Linked DNA regions of Yarrowia lipolytica. The protein of the gene in region 1 binds, or shares a complex with, the protein of each later gene. Links are inferred from orthologs where the notes say so. Each region holds a gene or a part of one and is shown on either strand. Other genes may lie near its edges.

Region 1 (10,678 bases):
TACGAGGATGTGGTGTACAGTATCGTACTACAAGTAGGGTCAATGTCCCCAAGTCCGTGTTTGCAACTTTGTAGGAGCTGCAATAATAGTACAGTATGTACTGTACAGTAACAATGAGCTATTTTTTATAATAAAGAATAACAATCAATTTTTTTTTTTGCATAAACTTTTTATATAATGTAATAATCACTTCTAACAAACGCACCAAGTAGGAGATGTAGGCTTGTCAAGTAATTACTTATTTACTCAAGTTAGACACAGTTCATCTATACACTATCAGTGTTTTCGATAGACATTTACTTTCGCCGGTCCAATGGAAATACCATCGAACTGATCAAAGGCTCTCTATATCCTTGGTTCCTTGGTTCTCCACTCTCGTAGCTACCTTCAGTGTACAGCATTATCTCAACCCCACCCCACATACCTCCGATAACGTGCACCGAAACCTAATCCAATTTGTACTCTTCGCTAAAACAAGTCTCTGTAACACGCCTTCAACACACTCACCAGCTTGCTACACAAATATCGCTAGATACCACCGACCCATTCATTCGATCAGTGAGATACCACCGTGATACAAGTTGATACATTGGTAGACTCCGCTGTCATGGACAATGCTACGATGACATCGTATCGATCCGCGATTGATCATAACCATTACGGGCAGCCTGAAACGATACCTCTGGGCGTGCTACAACCCTCCAGCAACAGGCTCAACTGCAAGACTGCCGAGTCTGTATACAAAACGAAACCGCAGCTCAACTCGGCTCCTATCAACCAACCCTCGCTTACCTCGACTCGATGGGACGGAAGTGCAGTCATGACCACGGCGCAGAAGATGACGAGCCCCCAGTACGTGACCTATGGTGACGGAGTGGACCCCGTAGATCTATCAACGAACTTCACCAGTATGGACAACGACCCCGGGCCTACGAGCATCTGTATGGTCAAGCCGTCTGATTTGCGCCAAACAAGTGTCTCCAAGTCGATCATGGAGCAGTACCGTAGCCAGATTCGACGGGAAAAAGAAGCAGTCGAAGAACAGGACTACTCCACCATAAGAAGCGTCACGTTTCACCCTGTGGAAGACTTGCGAATCTACGAGCCTCTAACTGGAGAGCATTCGGAGAACACGTTCTTCCCGTCTCCGGGATCGGGATCCAAGGTCCCCAGACGACTTGAAAATGGTGCGGCCAGAATGGAGCAACAGGGCTCGCATCTCGAAAACTCCCTGTTCCTGAGCAAGATGTACCGCTCGCCTACCCCGTTGGAATCATATTCGCCTGTTCACATGCTAGAGTATGGGGGGAGCATCCATTTGGGTGACAGTGGCTGGGGTCCTTACGGCAACAAGAAAAGCTACACTATGAAGAGCACTGCTTCCATGCCACGTTATATGAAGGATACCATTTCCTATCGAAACAAGAAGCGTTCCAAGCACGACACCCAGAATGGAACTGAGAAAGGCACCAGAAAGGGTCAGGACCGTGACTCCGCTAAAGGGGTGGGTAGAAAGGCCAAGCGTGATTTATTGGATTTTTTCCGGAGATAACACGTCCTATGTAGACAGGGTAAATATGACTTGGTCGAGAGAAACAGTTACGCGGAAGGGGTTGGTGGTTGGGGTTGGGTGTAGTGGGTATTTGTGAGGGGGTGAGATTGTTGGGCAGACAATGATATTGCCGTTGTAGACTTTCTTCAATTATACATGGAGCTTGGAACATCGATTGCCTGTGATCTCTCAACTACGGAAATGCAGATAACGATTACAATGGCACTTGATACCCATATGGTATCATTGTATGAGTATTTTGACATGTACGTAATTCTGACATGGACAAAGATCGACTTTTCCAACACCATATGTAGAACCTCATACTACACACTCAGTTCTGCACTCATTCAATCTAATCAAACCATCTATTATCCTACATGCTAATCCTTCTTGAGCTGCAACTGCTTGACCTGCTCCTCGAGGTTTCGGATGGATCCGTTGAGGGCGATGACGTCGGCAATGATCACGTTGTTGGCTTGTCGGTACTGGTCCACCAGGTAGGAGTAAGCGCCGAAGCCGGTGAGGGTGGTGCCGAGCAGGAATCCGAGCAGAGTTCCTCGCACGCTGGACTTCTTTCGGGGCTTGAGCTTCTGGGCAGAAGAGCCGATGGTAGCTCCGGCCTGGGCAGCCTTAGCAGTGGCCTGGGCACCGGTGGAGGCTCCCTGAGCAGCGGACGACACGTTGGAGGCAGCGTTGGAGGCAGCGTTGGCGGCGTTGTTGGCAGCGTTGTTCACGGTGTTGGCAGCGTTGTTGGCAGTGTTGGCAGCGGCGTTCTCAACAGCAGCGGTCTTGGCCTGGGCAGAGTAGTTGGCGGCAGGCTGGATCTTGGTGGGGGCGGGAGGCACAGCGACGGGGTGGGGAGCGGTAGAGTAGGCTCGGGTGGCGGGTCGGGCCACTCGGGTAGATCGGGCGATGGTTCGGATCATTGTGTGATTTTTTGTGTATCTCGTCTCGTCAGACTCCTGTTCTGTCTCGGGCTTCTTTCACTTTGCTAATGTGCTGTGGGATGTTCGACTTTGAGTTTTCCCGTTTGGGATCTGCCCTAACCACACGAATGGCGTCCTGTGATTGGGTGGATGTTTGTAGAATGACGGGGATCATATTTCTCGACGCCAAAGCTGCTCAATTGGAGAGCTATTGAGAGGAATAGATATGACTTAACTTGATTGGGGCTCGTTGTAGCTATAGTGGTGCTTTAAGAAGCTGTGTTTCAGGGTTGTACTGCCTCCCAAATGCTGAATAAGCCTATGAGTGATTTGCCATGTTATAGCGGCTACGAGCCGGTGTAGAGTGCGTATAATCACGTGACCCACTAGATAGATACATTTTCATAATTAATGATCATTTAATCACTTGTCTGTCGGTTTTTTTTGGTCCCAGGTATCTACGACTTAGCTCTTGTATCCTACTGTAGTTGCGTCGACGCACTGGTGTTAGTTACTGTAGAAGAAGATTAAAGTAAAAAATCAAGTACAGTTGAAGTACAATACCGAAAATACTCGGGCTCGGACATACTGCACAACTGTACCATCACTGTAGCAAGGGATAATATCTCATGCATTTCGGTCAAGTTGTTCGTATACATACATGATTAGTAATATCTAAAAACGTCCTTCTCCTCTCCCCCCTAAATAATACCCGTCTCTCTTAGCTGGGCAGACAAGACCATGTCTGTCACGGCGGCCATGACAAAACGCATGTTCTCAGTGTCCGTGGCACAGGTAAAGTGGACGTAAATCTCTTTGGACGGTCCGCACTTATTTTGGGCCAGAAAGAGATTCTTAAAGAAAGCCTTAACCGCAGTGACTTCATTTGGTCCATTGAAACTAGGGAAGTATTTGCGAACAGGCGATTTCTTTAGCTTGGCCTCCAACAGATCGCATTTGTTGAGAAACAGAATGATCGGCTTGTCGATGAACGTTTTGAAGTTGCAGATGTAGTCAAACAGGCAGATGGAGTCCTGCATTCGGTTCACGCCAGAGTCCTCATACAGAACCTGGTCGTACTCCGACAGTGCAACCACAAACAGCACACTGGTTACGTCATCGAAGCAGTGCATCCACTTCTTACGCTCGCTTTTTTGACCTCCTACGTCAATAATGCTGAGCATCTGGCCGCCCACCAGAAAAGGGGTTTCCGAAACACCTGTGGTTTTGATTCTTCCCCGGATGACATCCTCGTCTGAGGCCAGGTAATAAGGGTCGGCAAGACTGTGCACATTGTCAAAGTAGTATGACGCCGCATCTTCCAGCTGATACTCGTTTGAGCGGGCAAAACATTGCTTAATTCCTGTATCTTTAGTCCATAGCTCTGAAATGGCGTGTGCAATCTGTGGCCGCTCGGCTGGCGACACCTTGAGGACATTGTCGGCAAACTTGAGCGGCGAGTCTGTATAAACCATGGGAAGATTCTCACCCTCCATAAACCTCCTTTGGCTTTTGATGTCTTCATAAAGCGCATCCCAGTCAGGCATAGCGGAGTCGTTGGGGTCTGCATTGGTGAGCAGGGTCATATGACTGTTCAGAACGCTGTGTGGATCGTCGCAATCCAAAGAAATGCCCAAGAACCGTGCCTGGCGCACAATTTCCATCATCTGGACGAAAGCCTGCTCCCACATAACCTGAGCATACAGACTGCGTTCCTGATGGGTGAAGCCCTGGCCGTGGATGAGCTTCATTTGTTTGAGAATGGTCGACTTGCCAGACTCGCCGGTACCCAGAAGCAGTAGCTTGGGGGGTTTGGAGTCGTCAAACGATCTGGAGCTGCTTAGTTTTCCGACTCTAAATCGCATATTCTCTTCAATCAGTAGATGCTGGTCATGTTCAGCCCCGTACTCGGGTTTCGAAGGTACACATCCCATTGTTCGGGTGGTAGGGGCGTTCAGATAATTAAGTGGTCGCGGATGGCTTGAGATGTGTTGGAGGAAGTTGAGGGGGGTTACAGCGCCATAATTATATGTTGAGCCGAAGACTCCATTCACTCTGCCTCATTGATATCCTCTTTGGGATGTGGGGCTGAATGAAGTGCTGGTGGATGCACTTGCCGGGGGTTCCCTCGATTGGAGGTGGTCAGGTGACGAGAAGAGGATCAAACATGTGATTTTAAGTGACACAATACGGTCCGGCTACATATTCAGTGGCTACCAAACCCACCATATAGTAGTTGCGGCCGTAGGGTATTGTCATCGTGGTTCAACCGTCAGTGCAAGAACATGCACCCCCCCACCTGCACTCATGCACCTTCTGCCACATAGAGAACTCTATCCTGAGAACTTGGAGTCATACTTCAACACATCTATTCCATGATATACTGTAATACTTTTCTAACTAAAACTTGATGACAAAAGCTCCCTCAATGTCCTCCTCATCCTCGTCGCCCTCTTCTTCTTCTTCCTCGTCGCCTTCTTCCTCGTCGTCTGAGTCGTCATTGTCCTGGTCGTGATCGAGCTTGGCCTTCTTTTTGCCCTCATGCTCCAGATCTCGAAGTTCTCGTTTGTACTCATCCAGCTCCTCCTGGCTGCCCTCTAGGCGGGCCACAGCATCGTCAAGATGGCCCTTGTACTCGTCGGCTTCAAGCTGGGCAGCCTCGACCTTCTCCATGGCCTCGTCGTAGTTCTCCTGATTGCTATCAACCTCCTCCTGCTGGTCCGGAATCACCTCCTCCAGCCCCTGAATTTGGTCCTTGAGATACAGAGCATGTTGCTCCCGGTCGTGTTTGGACATCTGTGGTAGAACCGGTCTCGTCTCGTTCGTGCATTCAGGCAACTACACCTTTGGAGGTTTTAATTGCTCCCGCCACGTTCCTCTATCGTTAACCGGGCTCTCACACCATCAATCGGCTTTATACGGATCTATGCTGCCGCTATACGAAGGCCTAAAACCTATACCACCACTGTGCTACCTGTAGTTGTGCCCATACCGGTACACCCTCCGCTAGCTACAATGCTGCACCAGTAGGTCTCTTGGGTCGCATGTGACGTCATGGCGCAGTGGAGTAGTGGTAGTGAGGATGTCATATGTTTCACGGACTTGTATCAACCTCCATACCAATCACGCTCACGTCTATAACCCACTCAGTAAACGCTACAGTAACTTGTCATCGCCTTCTGACATGCCCCAATGCCAAGTCCCACCTCACAAACGGCACCCAAAACAGCCCCAAAACAGCCCCAAAACAGCCCCAAAACAGCCCCAAAACAGCCTCTAATAAAGACCACTCTAAAATAGTATATGCTGCTTGCTGCTGTTGGGTGAGCTAGCCGAGCCGCCGAGTGTCATCCTGGCATGTCATGAGGGATAAACGGAAACAGCTACTTGGACACGCAATGGGCCTGGGGGGGTTTTATTATTCCTCCGCTTACATAATCGTCCATTGCTCATTGCTCCGAAAGAACAGATCGAACCTTGATTACACGCATACATATGAAGGCACAACGTTTCTGACGTACAATATCTGCTTCTTGATCACTCCTTCACACAAAGAAACATCAAAAAAACAATGCCCAAGGTCATCTCTAAGAACGAATCGCAACTGGTCGCTGAGGCTGCTGCCGCTGAGATCATTCGACTCCAGAACGAGTCAATTGCTGCCACTGGAGCTTTCCATGTTGCCGTATCTGGAGGCTCTCTGGTGTCTGCTCTCCGAAAGGGTCTGGTCAACAACTCGGAGACCAAGTTCCCCAAGTGGAAGATTTTCTTCTCCGACGAACGGCTGGTCAAGCTGGACGATGCCGACTCCAACTACGGTCTCCTCAAGAAGGATCTGCTCGATCACATCCCCAAGGATCAGCAACCACAGGTCTTCACCGTCAAGGAGTCTCTTCTGAACGACTCTGATGCCGTCTCCAAGGACTACCAGGAGCAGATTGTCAAGAATGTGCCTCTCAACGGCCAGGGAGTGCCTGTTTTCGATCTCATTCTGCTCGGATGCGGTCCTGATGGCCACACTTGCTCGCTGTTCCCTGGACACGCTCTGCTCAAGGAGGAGACCAAGTTTGTCGCCACCATTGAGGACTCTCCCAAGCCTCCTCCTCGACGAATCACCATCACTTTCCCCGTTCTCAAGGCTGCCAAGGCCATCGCTTTCGTCGCCGAGGGAGCCGGAAAGGCCCCTGTCCTCAAGCAGATCTTCGAGGAGCCCGAGCCCACTCTTCCCTCTGCCATTGTCAACAAGGTCGCTACCGGACCCGTTTTCTGGTTTGTTTCCGACTCTGCCGTTGAGGGCGTCAACCTCTCCAAGATCTAGATGTATTGAATGGATGAGTATGATAGAACCAGTAAGGTAAATGTGAGCCGTTGACTCGAAATGGCTTGCTTGTAGAGATCTGATAGATATAATTAAGCCATTGACGAGTATGACGTTGTATTCATCTGAAGTTGTATTCATCTGAAGTAGCTACACAATCTTGCTATTCTTTACACTCATAATTCATTATTTTATATACAGTCATTTCGTCGGTTATTTGTCGTAGGTATTTGTCGTTTGCTCGTTTCGTTATTATCGTAGTTTATTCATAGCATGTATCGTCAGGTCGTGTTGTGTTGTAGTTGTAGTTGTAGTATTGGTCGTGTATCATATCGATCTTCATTCATCAAGAGTACCGAGGGCAGCATAAAGCGAATCAACGTCAACTTTTCCATTCCTGGTGCGCAGCATGCTCACAAGAGTGCCGAGAGAAGAGTTGGCAAATCGGGCATGGCCACTGAGAATGTTGTAGGCGTCTGTACAGGGCACCAGGACGGGAGAAGAGGACTCAGCACAGGGCCTGGCAGAAGTTTTCAACACAGTGCAAAAGAGGTTAGCCTTGGGGTCCTTAGCACACAGACAGGACGACAGATCTTCTTCGGTGACCGAGACCTCTGCCATCTCGTTGGCCACTTGGTCGACGGCGTGGTCTGTAATCTCAATGACTTCCGGCTTGTCTGGCTTGAGGGCACTAGAGCAGGGCTTTTCAGCTCCCTCCTCTTCGTCAAGACCAGCACAGAGACAAGGAGTGCCGTTGGAACAGAACCCACAGGGATCCACCTGAGGGGAGGGTTTATCTACAAAGTTGCTGTCCACAGGACTGTTGAGACTAGAGATGGACGGTGTTCGCGAGATCTTGGCGACTTGGGTCTTTGAATGTTTGCAATCGGGACCATGGACGTGTACAGGCTCAGGAACAGGTGGAGTCGTGGGTTTGGAGCCAAAAGTCTTTGTAAAATCGATTTCGTTGGCTTCAGACACGCGCTTGAACCGCTTTCGGATTATCATAGACGTCCCATTTGAGGCAGGGCGCTTCTTGAGGGGAACAGCAGCAACAGGCTTGATTTCACTGAGATTGACGCCGCCAACAATGTACGTGTTTTGGTCCTCAGCTGGAAGAGGTGCCTTGAGTCCCAGGGTATCACAGAGACAATTTCCTCCAGTCTCACACAGTCCACAGTCGTCGGGTTCCTCGTCCGGTTTCATTGGCGTGATATCATGGTGGTTATGTTGATGTTGATGGTGATGATGGCCAGTGCTGTTATTCGCAGTTTGGGCACCTGGGGTATCGTCAGCAATGGTGATGACCGATTCTCGTCGTTTTCGGGGCGGTCGGGCTTTGGGGAGGATAGCTACTGGTTTCTTTTCGTTTTCGTTTTCCTTGTCCAAGTTGCTCTTGCGTTCCTTCTCCATCTCTCTCTGTTGCCGTGCTCGTTCTGACATGGGAAACATGGAACTTCTAACAGCCAGCGGGTTGGCGTCGACGAAGCCGTACAGAGATTCGCGCGAGTCCTGGGTTTTGAGTGCCCGTAGCATTTCCACCTCGCTTCGCAGCTCTTCAATCACGGCTCTGAGTTTGTTGTTCTCGGTGTTGGAGTTTTGAAGCGCCGCACGTAAGTCATTTTCCACCTCGTCGTGTTCCTGTTCCACCTCCTGCAGTTTGTCCTCCAGCTCCACGACCCGGGCTGCTCGTCTTTCTCGAAACGCTCGCTGAGCAGCTCTGTTCTGGGCTTTGCGTTTGGTTGGCGGTAGGTCGTTGGACGGCTTTCGGCCGGGTTTCGGCCGCGGAGGAAGTACCCATTCCTTGGAGGTGACAATGTTAGTGATCTCCGGCGACACGCCGATGGAGTACGACATGGACGAGTTCTGCGAGAGCATGCCCATGTCCAGGTCGTCCTCCATTTTCACATGGCGCGGCTTGAGCGCAGATACTGGCGGAGGAGATGAGGACGACGAAGACGAGCCTAGCCGGGGAAGTGGTCGGGGCTGAAGCACCGGAGGCGGTCCGTTGCTCTGGATCTGTGGCTGCGACGCCTGCGGTGTTTGTGCCACGGGCTTGAGGGCCAGCTTCGGCGGTGCCGACTGCTGGGTTGGAGGAGCTATCGGCCGAGAAGGAGCCTGCTCGTTTGAGCGCAGCTGCGGGTGAATGGCCAGCTGTGGAAGCGCATGATGCGGTCCGTGGGACGGTCGCACCGGTTGCGGCTCTATCGACCGTATTGGCGTCATGGCAGCGGGTGTGAAAGAGTGTTGAGGTCGTGGTCGATAACACTGGTGTTCTACGCTAAACCAAACTGAAAAATCCTATTGTGCGTATTGTGGGATGCACGGGTGAAAAAAAAACACAAAATTCAGACGACCCAGAATGTGACTATGCACTGCACACTATATAAATTTACTCTCTACCAAGTACAGCTAGTAGGGATACTCGGACGGCCGCCCACAATACAGGAGAAAGACACGTTGCGGGATATTTCGGATAGTCGTTTTAGCGTTGATTATGCACTCAGATGGTGGGGTGGAGGGGGTTGTTGATCGATCGAGGAGCCAATGTGGCCGTCTAGTGTTTCAGCATGGTGCGGCGGTCATGAGATGTCGAGCGTACAACAGCACATTGCGCTCATGGTTGCTCACCACCGGACCAAGTTTTTCGCTTCTTTTTGCCACCTTGCTGTTGTCTTGCTTTTGCGGTATATTTGCTTAGACGGATCGGGTGGAAAAGACGACGCTGAGAACCAAGAGATGGAGGTGCAGCTGACACGCATGTAGATTATCTAAACCATCTGCCAATGGGAAGGGCACGGGAGAGCCCGGGCCGACCAGAGACAGAAAGAGAGATAGCCAGCAAAAGAAGCAAGTCAGCAACTGCGTAAAGAGACGTTTCAGTTTCAGAACTCAGTAGGGTTCGAGACCATGATAAGCTTTAGATAAAGCGAGCAAGAAATAACACCGAGATGAGGCCAGGCTACAAAAACTCGTTTATAAGTTGGCTACTTGTAGAGAATTAAGCAATGATACAATAAAAATACATCAGTTGCACTTGCGAAGACCATTCACATTGATCCAGCAGGAAGGACCATAGGAAGGGCCCGCGGTGACAATATGAGGATCGCCAGTGGCATGTATGTTCTGTTCAGCCAGACCAATGCGGTAGTCCTCAGGGTCAAAGTACACATAGGCGGCTCGGAAGAAGGGAAGACCCATTACAAGACGGTTATCGGTCTTGCTGTTCAGCGAAGGTGCAATCAACAGTCGACATTTGTCGTCTGAATGCTGCTCCACCGGCATCATCAGGGCTTTGGCTGGCACGTCGACAGAGACGCCGTTGAAATCAAAAGTATACTTGAAGTTGCTAGCAGGAACATTGCAATCCATTTGATAATCAGCGAATCCTTCTTGTTGAATATTCTGAGCTCCAAAGTCTGCTTGGATGACGTCAAAAACATGCCGAGGAACAGTAATCAAGGTGTAACCCGTGTCAAAATGGGCATCAAAGGTCTCCACACATTTGGGACGAGATCCGGGACGTCTGAGGATGTCCTTTCCATTTCGCATGATAGAAGTGATGAGTGTATCGTATTCGTAGGGCTTGGGGGAGTCCTTGATTCGGTTGAGTCGGTTGTTGACCATCTTGGTGAACCTGAGCTCACCCTTGATTCGGTCCTGGTCATAGCCTCCAAAAAGCACTTCTGCTCTTTGGTTTGCATCAATGTAGACACCGAAGGACCGTCGCCGAATGATTCCCTGACTTCGCATCTGAGAGAGAAGATTGGGGTATCTGGGATTCACCATCTCTCCTTCCTCAAGACCCAAGCCCATGAATCCTGTCTGAGGGCGATGTCTGGGATGGGTAGGATGGGGGTACTCTGCCACTCCAATGTT
Region 2 (10,699 bases), about 1.3 Mb from region 1:
TATCTTGAGCTCAAACTCGGTGTCTTTGAACAATCTGTTTCTATTGTAATTCAGGTAGTATGAAGAACATTTCGACTCCTTATTCAAAAGACCCTGTTTGAGAGATTGATGTAGGTTGAGCTTAGGAGAGTAAAAGAGAGCCCCTGAAGACAGGAATTTTTGGCACTCTCTGATAAACTTGAGAGTCGAGGGAGACACAGGAGAAGGTGTGCCTGTTTCGGTTTCTGAGGGCTCAGAATCAGCGACCGAAGAACCTCTCGACTCGTTGGAGTCTGTGGACCGTCGCGGTTCGGCAGTGGTGTTATTTTGAGAGGCTTCAAAAACGGCTCTGGCTCGCTGGTAGGACAGAGGAATCAGGAGAGCCCCGGTGATCTTGTAGAGGGGAGCATTTTGCAGAGTAGCAACCTGTTCTCGTTTGGTGATGACTGCCAGCGAGTGCACATCAATAGGAAAGATGCCAAAAATGCCCAGGCACTCTAGAGACGGGCTTTCTGTATCGACCGAGGCTCCATCTGTGTCATTTTGTGAGTCCGTATCGTCCTGGAGTGTGGTGAGAGATTTGGTAGCGAAATCAAGCAGTGATCTCGTGCCGTTTTGAGACTGTAGTGTCAGTCCCTGTTGTGTTAGGGTGATTTGCATGGCCTAACGAATGGTGAAGCGAATGGATGGATGTGTAACGATCGACGATTTGAGCGAGTGGAATACCGGGGGCTCCTGAGACGGTCTCGAGATAAACCCTTGTTTTGATCAGATGAGTTTTAATTACATCTCCCTGTGCGCATAGTGTGCCTCTCTCATGCACAGGCTGTAAACTCTGCCACCACCTAGAACGAGATAAGCGACGACCCAGAGTTTGGGATACCTTACGGGGTCGGAAATACGACCTGTACGACGTGAGCGAGAGGCGAAAATAAAAAGCAGGAGATACTGAAATTTTAGACAATCGCAATATCGCATGGCATAAGAGTATTACTGCCTGTAGCTAGTTGTAATTGACTTGTTTATTTCTTAGCTACTGTTGGCTATGGTTGCCCTTATGGACATGATCAGCTGACTTATCTGTGTAATCCCGCAGAGTAAATGGTGCCGTGTGGTTCTAACGGCTGTTGGTCGCAGTTACTGTATACATTGGTACACTACATCCTATCAGCATACTTTGCAACCCCTGCATCACGTGATCGATAGCTTGATGTTACTTATTGATACTGAGACACCGCGGTTACAGTAGCTTCTGAGGGGGGTGCTGCTCAATGTTCGAGACACCATCTGCACTTGCAGATATCAGTAGGTACGAAACACTGGTGCGAGTACAGTATGCACCTGTTGGGCCACTTCATCAGCCCATCGACATATCACTGTAGCTACTGTACCTCTTCTACACCACTGGTACCGTCGCCACCCTATCATAACGGTAAAGACTATATATAATACGGGGTGGCGCCGCATGATGATTGCAACCCTGGGTGCCGCTCAACAATGGCTAGCTTCGAGTCTAGGCATTAGCCTGATGAGATGTGGAGTCGCAGACAAGCGAGACATTTATGTGCAGGCGAACACAGTCAAACGACCCCGGTCACCGTCCACGGAGAACATAAGCTTCACAGCAACTGTCGGGGACCGCCGAACCCATTTCCCACTCGTCTCAAATCTACTTGTAGAGACCATACAAGTAGCTACTGGTAATGCACCGTTAAACAGTTCAAAGTTTTTGCATATCTAAAACTGTCTACCAGTAGCTAGACTATACTGTGCGGCCAACAAAACGCCATACTAGCTCCACTACCACCAACCACCTCTTCCAGCATCTTGTCGAAGCTGCACACCCGCCAACCTCTCGCACGCACCGATTCCTGGGCATGTCCCTGCTCAGCCTGCCTCCAGAAACCATAGCCGTGATTCTCGCCTTTACCTCTGTTGAAGATCTCCACAACCTGCGAAACTCGTGCTGCTGTCTAAGAGAAGCAGTCGACAACAGCTCCCACGCTCTCACCGCCGCCAGGGCTCTCTGTGCACCATGGATGCAACCAGCCGACGGGTCCAGCGCAGCGGGATGGCTCTCCCTCGCCATGGCCGAACTGCGTCGTAGAGACACCATGCATGGACATGCACGACACCATCACCAAGCCGACTACCACCACACCTCCTACCATGACGCCCTGGATCTGACCTCTCCCACAGACGGACTGGCCTCCCTGCCGTTAGTAGAGTACGCCGAGGAGCCTGAGCCGGTCCAAACCATCAACCACAACCTCGCACCCGAAGCAAGCCTATATGCAGACATCTTCCCTGACGGAACGCTGTCGATATCCCGAGCAATATCCGACGAATACGAAACAAAACTGTGCTTTCGCCGCCAGATTGTCTTCACCCACAACTTCCCCATCTATCCACAAACCTATGGCGACTATGCATCAAATGTGTACACCCCTCCGGTAGACGGTGTTCAAGAACTCAATTACGCCCGCAAAACGTGGTTTTGGAGAGTAGTTAGAAATATACTGGAGGATGACCGTGTAATTCGCCGCTTCCACGTGTCCAAGGCCATGTACGACGGATATCTCACGGCTCTGCTTCGCTTACGCTCCACTAAACTGGCTCCAGGCATGTCTCCCGAAATGGAATGGCATCGGTTGGGTCACTCGGGCAGCAGTAGTGCTGGCTCTACTTCTGACTCCAGTACCGGCTCCATTGGCTTGTGTGAGGAATACGAGCTGTTGCGACAAAAGTGCATTGCTCCAGGTCGCCGGAATAACATCAAAACACAATCTATTCGCATACACATGCCGTGTTCCGAGTCCGCCCGTGTATTTGTGTACGGCCACGACACCTTTATTTGCATTTCCAACTCGCTTGAGGACCCTGTGTTGAAGCGGAATGACTTCTTCTGGGTTGACTGGGCCAACAGTAAGACGTTCCGTCTCTGTTCAACGATATCCCCCCATGGCCCCACGCATCCGCAACATCAGCATCATCCCTTCATAGTAGATAACCGCTTCTTTTTGCTGTATCGAAACCAGCTGGTTGAATGGGCCATGAATGCATCTTCTCAATTTGTGCCGATTGGTAAGACCAGGCTAGACCTGTCGTACAGACGCGACTTTTCGCTGATGCCCCTGCTCGATACCCGCACCCCTGTCATCACTGGTCAGATGTTTGTCGACACCAACAACAGGAGTTACTCCAAGGTGACGCTGGGAGACTCGTCCAACTCATTCCACGTGCTCGGAGTGCTCAATGGGCAGAAGCGCGACTGGACGTACCAGTATCTGCGGGAGCTGACGGAGAAGCTAGCCATGTACCGAATGCCTCTCAACACGTGGTGTCATTTGGACAAGATCTTGCCGCATGTGGTGCTCAGTGGTGGTGTCCAAGGTGAAGAGCAGGAGCGGATTCGAGGAGCAGTCTCGCCCACGCACTCTATATAAGCCATCATTTTTATTTAAACATAGACCCTTGATTTTTCACCTAACAAAGAAGCGACGATCAACCGAGTTTGATAGGCGCGGGGAGATGGAATACGGCAGGAACACAGCGATAGGGTTGTTTTTCGTTTCCTTTGGGCTACTCCTGAGTACAGTACAGTACATAGTACAAGGCCAATGTTGTACCTTGGAGGGTGAAGAATGTCGGGCCCTGTACACACTGTGGGACTACTTCTACATCTCTATACCATAACTTGCCTTGACTCACTGACGATCGTATAAAATATTTTTGTCTCATTACATGAGAGAATCTTGTTGGTGTAGATTAAGGTGTGCAAGGCCAAGCATGAAGACTTCCAGGGTCTATTAATTGGTTGCATTTGCCCGCTATTTTTGGCTGTCAAAAAATATTGGTTTCACCTCGACAGAACGCATAACAAGACCTTGCTCTGTGTCAATCTTGAATAGGCTTGGCCTGTGAGTTGCTACGGCCCTTCGATGGCTCCATTAAGCTGTTACAACGGCCGAGAGAAGCGCCAATGGTACAAGTAGTGACTTTGAGCTTGCCGGCTGCAGTATGGTTTTCCTTTTTCCAATGTGCAAATTGCCAGTGTTACATCAACGGATAAAGTTGGCGGTGGTGTTGCTGGAAAAGTTGAAAAGAACACAATAGCAGGTCTGATCGGGTAATGGGCACTTGACGGTCCGAATCGTAGCAGCTCAGAGTGCCATTTGTGCAGGAAATTGTGTAAATCTACTCCACCTAATCGCTTCCTCCACCCCTTGGAGAATTGTAACCATGAAGAGACTCCAGTGGGATCTACAGGTGTGTGTGAGAAGCTGCACTTGATAATAGGCCGAGGTCGGTTCTCTACAGCAAGCACAAACCTCCGCATTCTAATAAAATAACGTCATTTTCACCATCTTCATACGCCCCTGACCGTCACTTCAACAAGCTCTTTTAGATTGGTGGTGACAAGCACATGTATACATGTATACATACTCGTCGTCTACCCGGTACCTTATACTAGCGAGTCTACAGAGCGAAGATCATAAAGGTAGATTACACAGCTGAGTCTCCTCCTTCGTTGCTGTTGGGGCCGTTTGATAAAAAGTGGTCCCATTGCACCTCCCATCTTCGAACCCTGCATAATTTCTTCATATTCGGCAATTGACCATATCTGGTCTATAGGAACAAGTCAAGTGGTGGAGCATCTGTGGGGCTCAACGAGATAATTACACACGATAACACACACACAATATTTTCATGCCAACTAAACTATACTTTTATCCTCCTGATCAGCACAGTAATGATAATATTTGCCAAACGTTTTATTATTTGAAGACCCACTTATGTAAATTTTTTGGGTGTTCCGTTTGTGGCCCTTCCTTGTGTCGCCTTGCTATATGTATATTGTATATTACTCCGCATCTACTCCGCATCTACTCCGCAGAGCTCATGCAGTAAGCATGCACGCAGCTATAACGGGGAATCAATGTGGCAGACACGAATTGGTATTTGCATGGTGGAGTCCCCCACACTAGAAATTGCAACCAACTTGAACTCATCCACGCGCGAAAATGACAGATATTCTCCGGCCAGATACTCCCCCCTCCCCCACCGTTGAAGATCTCCATGAGCGGCTGTCGTTACTCAAAGGCAAATGTGCCGCCATGAGAGAGAACATTGTTCATCAGAGAAGCCAATTTATGAATGCCACCCTTCCAAGTCTTGCCACAGACCTCCGGCCCATCAGTTCAACCCCCCTGAAGGTGCGACACAAACTCAAGGGACACAGAGGCAAGATAAACAGCTGCGACTGGGCCTCCAACTCACAATATGTGCTCAGTGTAGCTATGGACGGTCTGGCTCTCATGTGGGACGCCTACTCGTCTCTAAAGTCCAGAGTCTTCCTTCTTCCAAGCTGCTACGTGCTCTCCTGTGCATTACCTCCCTCGTGTGGCTACCTGGCATCGGGTGGTCTAGATAACAGGGTCTCAATCCACTCCATGACTCAGTCGGCTGATGAGACAGACCCTTCTGTTCCCTACGGTTCAGGGTCGTCGACCAGAATGAAGGGACTTACCAAAAGCGAGCCCATGGCCATTCTCAAGGGACACTCTGCATATGTGGCGGACTTGTGTTTCCTGACTGACCAACAGATCATCTCAGCCTCCGGAGACATGACATGCTGCATCTGGGATGTCAATACAGGCCGACGTGTTTCGACCCTGTATGACCATCTAGGAGACGTCTCTTCTGTGACCAAACACCCCTCTAAGATGCAGATTGTCGCCACGGCTTCCAACGATAAAACAGTCAAGATCTGGGATCTCCGAATCGCCAGATGTGTCCAGACCTTTCAGGGGCACAATAAGGATGTAACTTCAGTGGACTTCTTTCCCGATGGAAATGCAGTTCTCTCTGGAGGTGACGATTCAACTGCAAGACTGTTTGACATGAGAACTGATTGCCAAATGAACATTTATAGTGCCCCAGACATAATGTCTCCTGTCAACTCGGTGGCTGTAACACCCTCAGGACGGATCATGTTCTGTGGCCATGACACAGGTGAAGTGGTAGCTTGGGACACCATCAAATGCACCTACCTCGGCCCAATCACGAAGCATCTTGGTCCTGTTACCAAAGTAAAGGTCTCCCCAGACGGAGTGGGTGTCCTATCTTCTTCTTGGGACGAAACTATGACAGTTCTGTCTCTGTAAGTGGAGGTCTACGTGTATGCAGTAATAACATCACATCAACCCGATATGAGAAATAATATGAAGCGGCTACAGAAGGTGCATGTCTATGTGTGTGCTGCGCTTGATAGTCGGTGGTATAATTTTGGTTTAATTGTCTACAAGTACAAGTACAAGTACCATACCATTGTTGACCAACACTGGAACACACTCTCTTTAGGTAGCTACTTGTACCCGGTTTAGATGTCATAACGACGCATCGAATTTGACCTAACCCCCAAATTATCATAAAAAAGGCCCTCCTACCAGATAAAGAATTGCCGGTTTAGCACTCCTGTCTACTCATTTCCACCCTTAATTGCATTTTAAATGACATAATGGCACTTCAAAAATCTGAGTTTTAAGGGGTCACGTGACACTGATTTTAGCTTGGGAGATTCTAAAAAAAGTTCAATTAAAAAAAACCCAGCGATGTGGCGCAGCGGAAGCGCGCAGGGCTCATAACCCTGATGTCCCTGGATCGAAACCAGGCATCGCTAATTTTTTGTCAATTTTTTTTGCTGTGATGGGTCATGATAAAGTTCTTAATCTGGGGCAGACGTGCAGAACAACAACTTTCATTAACGCATCCACCAACACCTTTTTGCACCAAATCATGGCACTACTGGTGAGTATGGGGAGAGGATAAGGCTTCCTAAGGGTTGCAACGAACACAACAAGCACTAACCAGCTCTGTTTTGCACATTTCTGCGACTTGCATGGCCCGACTTCGATACTGTGTTGTCAGAAAACGAAGGAGACCACACCAAACGAGTGTTCGACGTGCGCAAATTGCCAGCTGATCCTGCCAAATGATGCCACAACTCTACGATCTAATATTGGCGAGCACACATACGTGTCTTCTCAATGTGCCGTCGGGGAGGATGACTACTCCAAGGTTCGAAAGGCCTGTCTCAAGCTGCTGAGTAGTGAAACCACCTTCTCGGATACTCCTCTCATGTTTGGCGACTCATCTGGAGCCACCATTGGTTACGTGTTCAAGGTGAACGACAACGAGTCTCGTGGTGGGATTCGAAAGTACGGCTTTCTCTGTCTGGGGGAAGAAAAGCGTCTGATGGACAACTGGATTCCCATCACCGAGCGATTCGAAAGCATGGGAGGATGGATCAAGACACAGGTGACGAAGCATCAGGAGATGAAGGACAAGAGCGACTGGGCCGATTCGTTCAGACGAGAGGCGTTTACTAAACCCAAGAATCTCGTGAGCATGACCAAGGACGACGAGTTCTACGTCAAGGTGCATGCTGGTCTGAGTGATTTACTCAACAAGGTGGCGTAGCGGGGACGACGGCCTAGACGCTGGTGGAATACCAGCAGCTGGCTTCAACCTGTACTATCTATGAAGTCCTTGGTGTTGCTGAAACCGATAGTGAGACTCAATTCAAGGTACCAGCACCACCGGATTACTTCTACTTGTACAGTAGTTATCACATCACTGCATAATTATCACGGCTACATATGGTGACAAGTGCTAGAGGCCCCCCTGAAAGCTGAACTGGTCGCTCTGGCCATGTTGGTTGATATTTGCACTCTACTGTTGTCTTCGTACAAGTACCCTGTATCGTACTACGTACCCTGTATCGTACTACGTACCCTGTATCGTACTACGTACCCTGTATCGTACTACGTACCCTGTATCGTACTACGTACTCGTACTCGTACTCGTATACGTACGTACTGTACCTAACTTCTCCATACTCGTCCACCTAGACATGCCGTTTAGAGAAGCTACCAGGTCTCGTACCGCAGCAACCTGTGCCACGGTCTTGAATAACACCAATTCGTCATGCAGTACATACAACATAGCAGCAGTCCGATATTACCCCTTTTCAGCGTCTCCTGTTTTCATATTGATGTAGTTGCGCCTTAAACCACCAAACTCGTGCCCTGAACCAATCACAACGGTGCTAACGGAGTGCATTTTCACTGCAGTGTGTGTGTATGCAAGAGGGAGTGTACCAGAGGGTAAATATGGGGCAAAAACGGTAATGTGAGTGGTTAACGAAGTTTTCAATTGTAAAAAACATTGCCTCGCGGGGCTGGCTCATTATCAGAACGAGAACAATCGGATCTAGACACCTAAAGTGCGCACACTTTCTGTTCGCACGACCACTTATACAGTAAGTTTTCCGGAAAGATAAGGGTCTGGGTGAAGTTTGTTGAGATCAATCACATCATGTGGGGGTGCGCGCGCATATCTCGTCAGGAGAGTTGAGCACAGAGATGGAGACGATTTTTTGGTCAAACCATGTGGATGCGGTCAATTTTTCTCTCCAGGAATTTCTGCAGCTATTTTTTCCGATCAAATTCCATCCAAAATCACCCTAGTTGGCCTCAAATTAGTCGATATGGTGCCCTGTTGGGGCACACTCGAGTGAGTGGCGTTGTCAATTGACTTTGTGCGTTCGAGACGAGACAAGAGAGGCGTGACTATGCCGAGGTAACCGTGCAAGAGTAGCAACTTTTAGTCAAGAGTGGGATTATTGCGTGGAGATCATTGTATGTTAGAAACAGGCAATGGATCAAGGGGTATCTCTACATTACGAATTATTGTACAAGTAACCACAGGCTCGATGTATGATACAACTACGTACGATACCCGTCTAGTATTTACTGAAGCCTACGAGCCAGATCACATACAATCACACTACAGTTGCGAAATCAATATAGTAAATCATCAATTAATCAATAAATGATGCGCTTAGAGGTTGTTCTGAGCGTTCTTGAGGATACCCTCAATGGCGGCAGCCTTCATGACGTTGCCCTTAACCTTGAGCTTGCCGGTCATGAAGAGTCGCTGGGCGTTAGCCTTACCCTCAACGAGCTGCTGGAAGTGGTCGTCAGAGAGAGTGAGCTGGATGTCAGCATCACCCTTGGGGGACTTGTTGCCCTTGCCGACGTCACCGTCGTTCTTGAGGTCAAGGTACCAAGACTCGGTCTTGCCAGCCTTGTTCTTGAGGTTGAAGACAATGATGGCGTTGGCCTTCTTGATGGACTCAGCCTTCTGCTTGGCCTGAGAGGGGTCGTTAAGACCGTCACGGATGACGTCGAAGATGATAGAAGAAGTGAAGCCGTCGACCTTGAGAGACATTGTTGTTTTTGTGTAATGAATAAGAGATATTCTGGGGAGCTAAACCGGAGGATGCACCCTACCTATATATATGTCGTTAGATTGACTATATGCATTTAATGCTTGCTCGAGAGGGGCAGCATGTGATAGTTTTTACCGAGGTGTAGGGAGACAGCCAAGCGTGGGCACATTGCCCCGGACGAACCGACACGACACAAAGAAACGTGACAAAGCCTAACCCAGTTTGAGATTTATCCCCACAGAATCATTTGGAACAGTCCGGGGAATTAGTGGACATTTGCGGCATTTCTAACGCGGTTGATCCTGTAGCTTTTTGCGCATTCAGCTCAATTCTGCGCCATGAGTTCGGTATATTCATGCCCTAGGAACTACACGCTGGGCCTCTGCCTCAAACTGCCACCGTGTTCTTCCCCATGTGAATTTTACCACACACCCCAAAGAATCAAATCCAAAGAGCTTATTGGGACGAATAAGCTCGGTCCTACCGCCAGCCCCCACACATTGGTGGTCAACGCCGTCACAACCATCCAGTTGGCGGCGTTATAATTTTTTACCGTTGGAATGCTTTTGAGGTCAACAGAAGGGGTGAAGCGATGATGCATGAGGCTGGCTATTTTCGGAAGTTTCACTACTTGTGCAAGTACCGTACCGGTCAGTACGAGTAAAATGATTTCGGTAGCTTGTATGTTTCATTAGGTGTCTTGTATAGACACAGTTAAGAAGAATGCAAGTTCCACGAGATTCGATTGACGGCCCAACAGATCAGCGAAGTAACGAGCGAGTACCAGCTCTCACACAGGGTCTTTACCGTAAGTATCGTCACATCCCCCACAAGCCGCCAAGCGAATCGCTTAATGAAAACGTCATTCTCTTTCTCCGCCGGACCTGCATACTACCCTTCACATGTTCCATATGATACTTATCTCTTTCGTAATCATGCTAATATAATGCGGGGTAACCCCAAACTGTGGTTGCAATGGGGGAATCGTAGCAACAGTAGACATGCAAAAGTCCATGCAACGGAACATGTGAAACTGGATTGCGGAACTGTGTGATCCTTGGGGCTATTCTAAGACCCGCCGTTGGACTTTGTTATAGTTCTCTCGACCCGAGGCCGTTACTTCTGCCAGACTATGGTCTCTACTTCCGGCTTTTCTTCCCTATATCTATTGTATATGTACAGTAACACGATAGATGATCAAGCAATGGGCATACAAGAGGCAGGTGTAAGATCCGTTGTTTATACAGTAGCTACAGTATGTCCATACAATGATATCCATCCCCACAAATAACGATCAGCCTCCATAACTTCAAGATATCCACGGAACCCCTCCCCCACCATTTCGGTAAACTAACAGGCCTATTATCCGATTTACTAATCACTTGCGTTTCCTCTGTCCCCTACAGTACCAGCCGAAAATAGCCT

The links. The genes of interacting proteins can lie anywhere in the genome.
Region 2: the proteins of YALI1_E14489g (region 1) and YALI1_E01904g are in contact, whole or in part, in a cryo-EM structure (PDB 7AD3), measured with the Saccharomyces cerevisiae proteins. The link is inferred for Yarrowia lipolytica from reciprocal best matches to the Saccharomyces cerevisiae genes GPA1 and STE4. Residues at the interface, in NP_011868.1 of Saccharomyces cerevisiae: Thr7, Gln8, Thr9, Ile10, Asn20, Lys21, Ala23, Asn24, Ile27, Glu28, Ser30, Leu31, Gln32, Glu34, Lys35, Asp38, Lys43, Thr301, Gly302, Ile303, Glu305, Leu318, Arg324, Ser325, Glu326, Lys329, Trp330, His332, Cys333, Phe334; in NP_014855.3 of Saccharomyces cerevisiae: Asn85, Gly90, His91, Asn92, Lys94, Ser104, Gln112, Asp113, Phe115, Leu117, Ala122, Ser123, Leu125, Lys126, Gln127, Asn128, Ala129, Gln135, Trp136, Leu138, Leu154, Asn155, Asn156, Arg168, Cys182, Tyr183, Asp224, Leu226, Ser248, Asp272.

Annotation. Positions count from the first base shown.
Region 1 is NC_090774.1:1,444,471-1,455,148, forward strand, and holds YALI1_E14489g (uncharacterized protein), read right to left. Parts: upstream 4,416-10,678; coding exon 3,183-4,415; downstream 1-3,182. Other genes in the region: YALI1_E14451g (uncharacterized protein), read left to right, coding at 608-1,552; YALI1_E14469g (uncharacterized protein), read right to left, coding at 1,936-2,481; YALI1_E14497g (uncharacterized protein), read right to left, coding at 4,882-5,277; YALI1_E14505g (uncharacterized protein), read left to right, coding at 6,053-6,799; YALI1_E14535g (uncharacterized protein), read right to left, coding at 7,139-9,025; YALI1_E14555g (uncharacterized protein), read right to left, coding at 9,827-10,678. UniProt on the Saccharomyces cerevisiae protein: Alpha subunit of the heterotrimeric guanine nucleotide-binding protein (G protein) that mediates mating pheromone signal transduction.
Region 2 is NC_090774.1:184,710-195,408, reverse strand, and holds YALI1_E01904g (uncharacterized protein), read left to right. Parts: upstream 1-5,003; coding exon 5,004-6,146; downstream 6,147-10,699. Other genes in the region: YALI1_E01947g (uncharacterized protein), read right to left, coding at 1-639; YALI1_E01935g (uncharacterized protein), read left to right, coding at 1,857-3,425; YALI1_E01885g (uncharacterized protein), read left to right, coding at 6,688-6,789, 6,853-7,461; YALI1_E01877g (uncharacterized protein), read left to right, coding at 7,522-7,605, 7,673-8,041; YALI1_E01865g (uncharacterized protein), read left to right, coding at 8,878-9,372. UniProt on the Saccharomyces cerevisiae protein: Implicated in the a- and alpha-factor response pathway. The beta and gamma chains of the putative yeast mating response pathway G protein play a positive role in initiation of the mating response.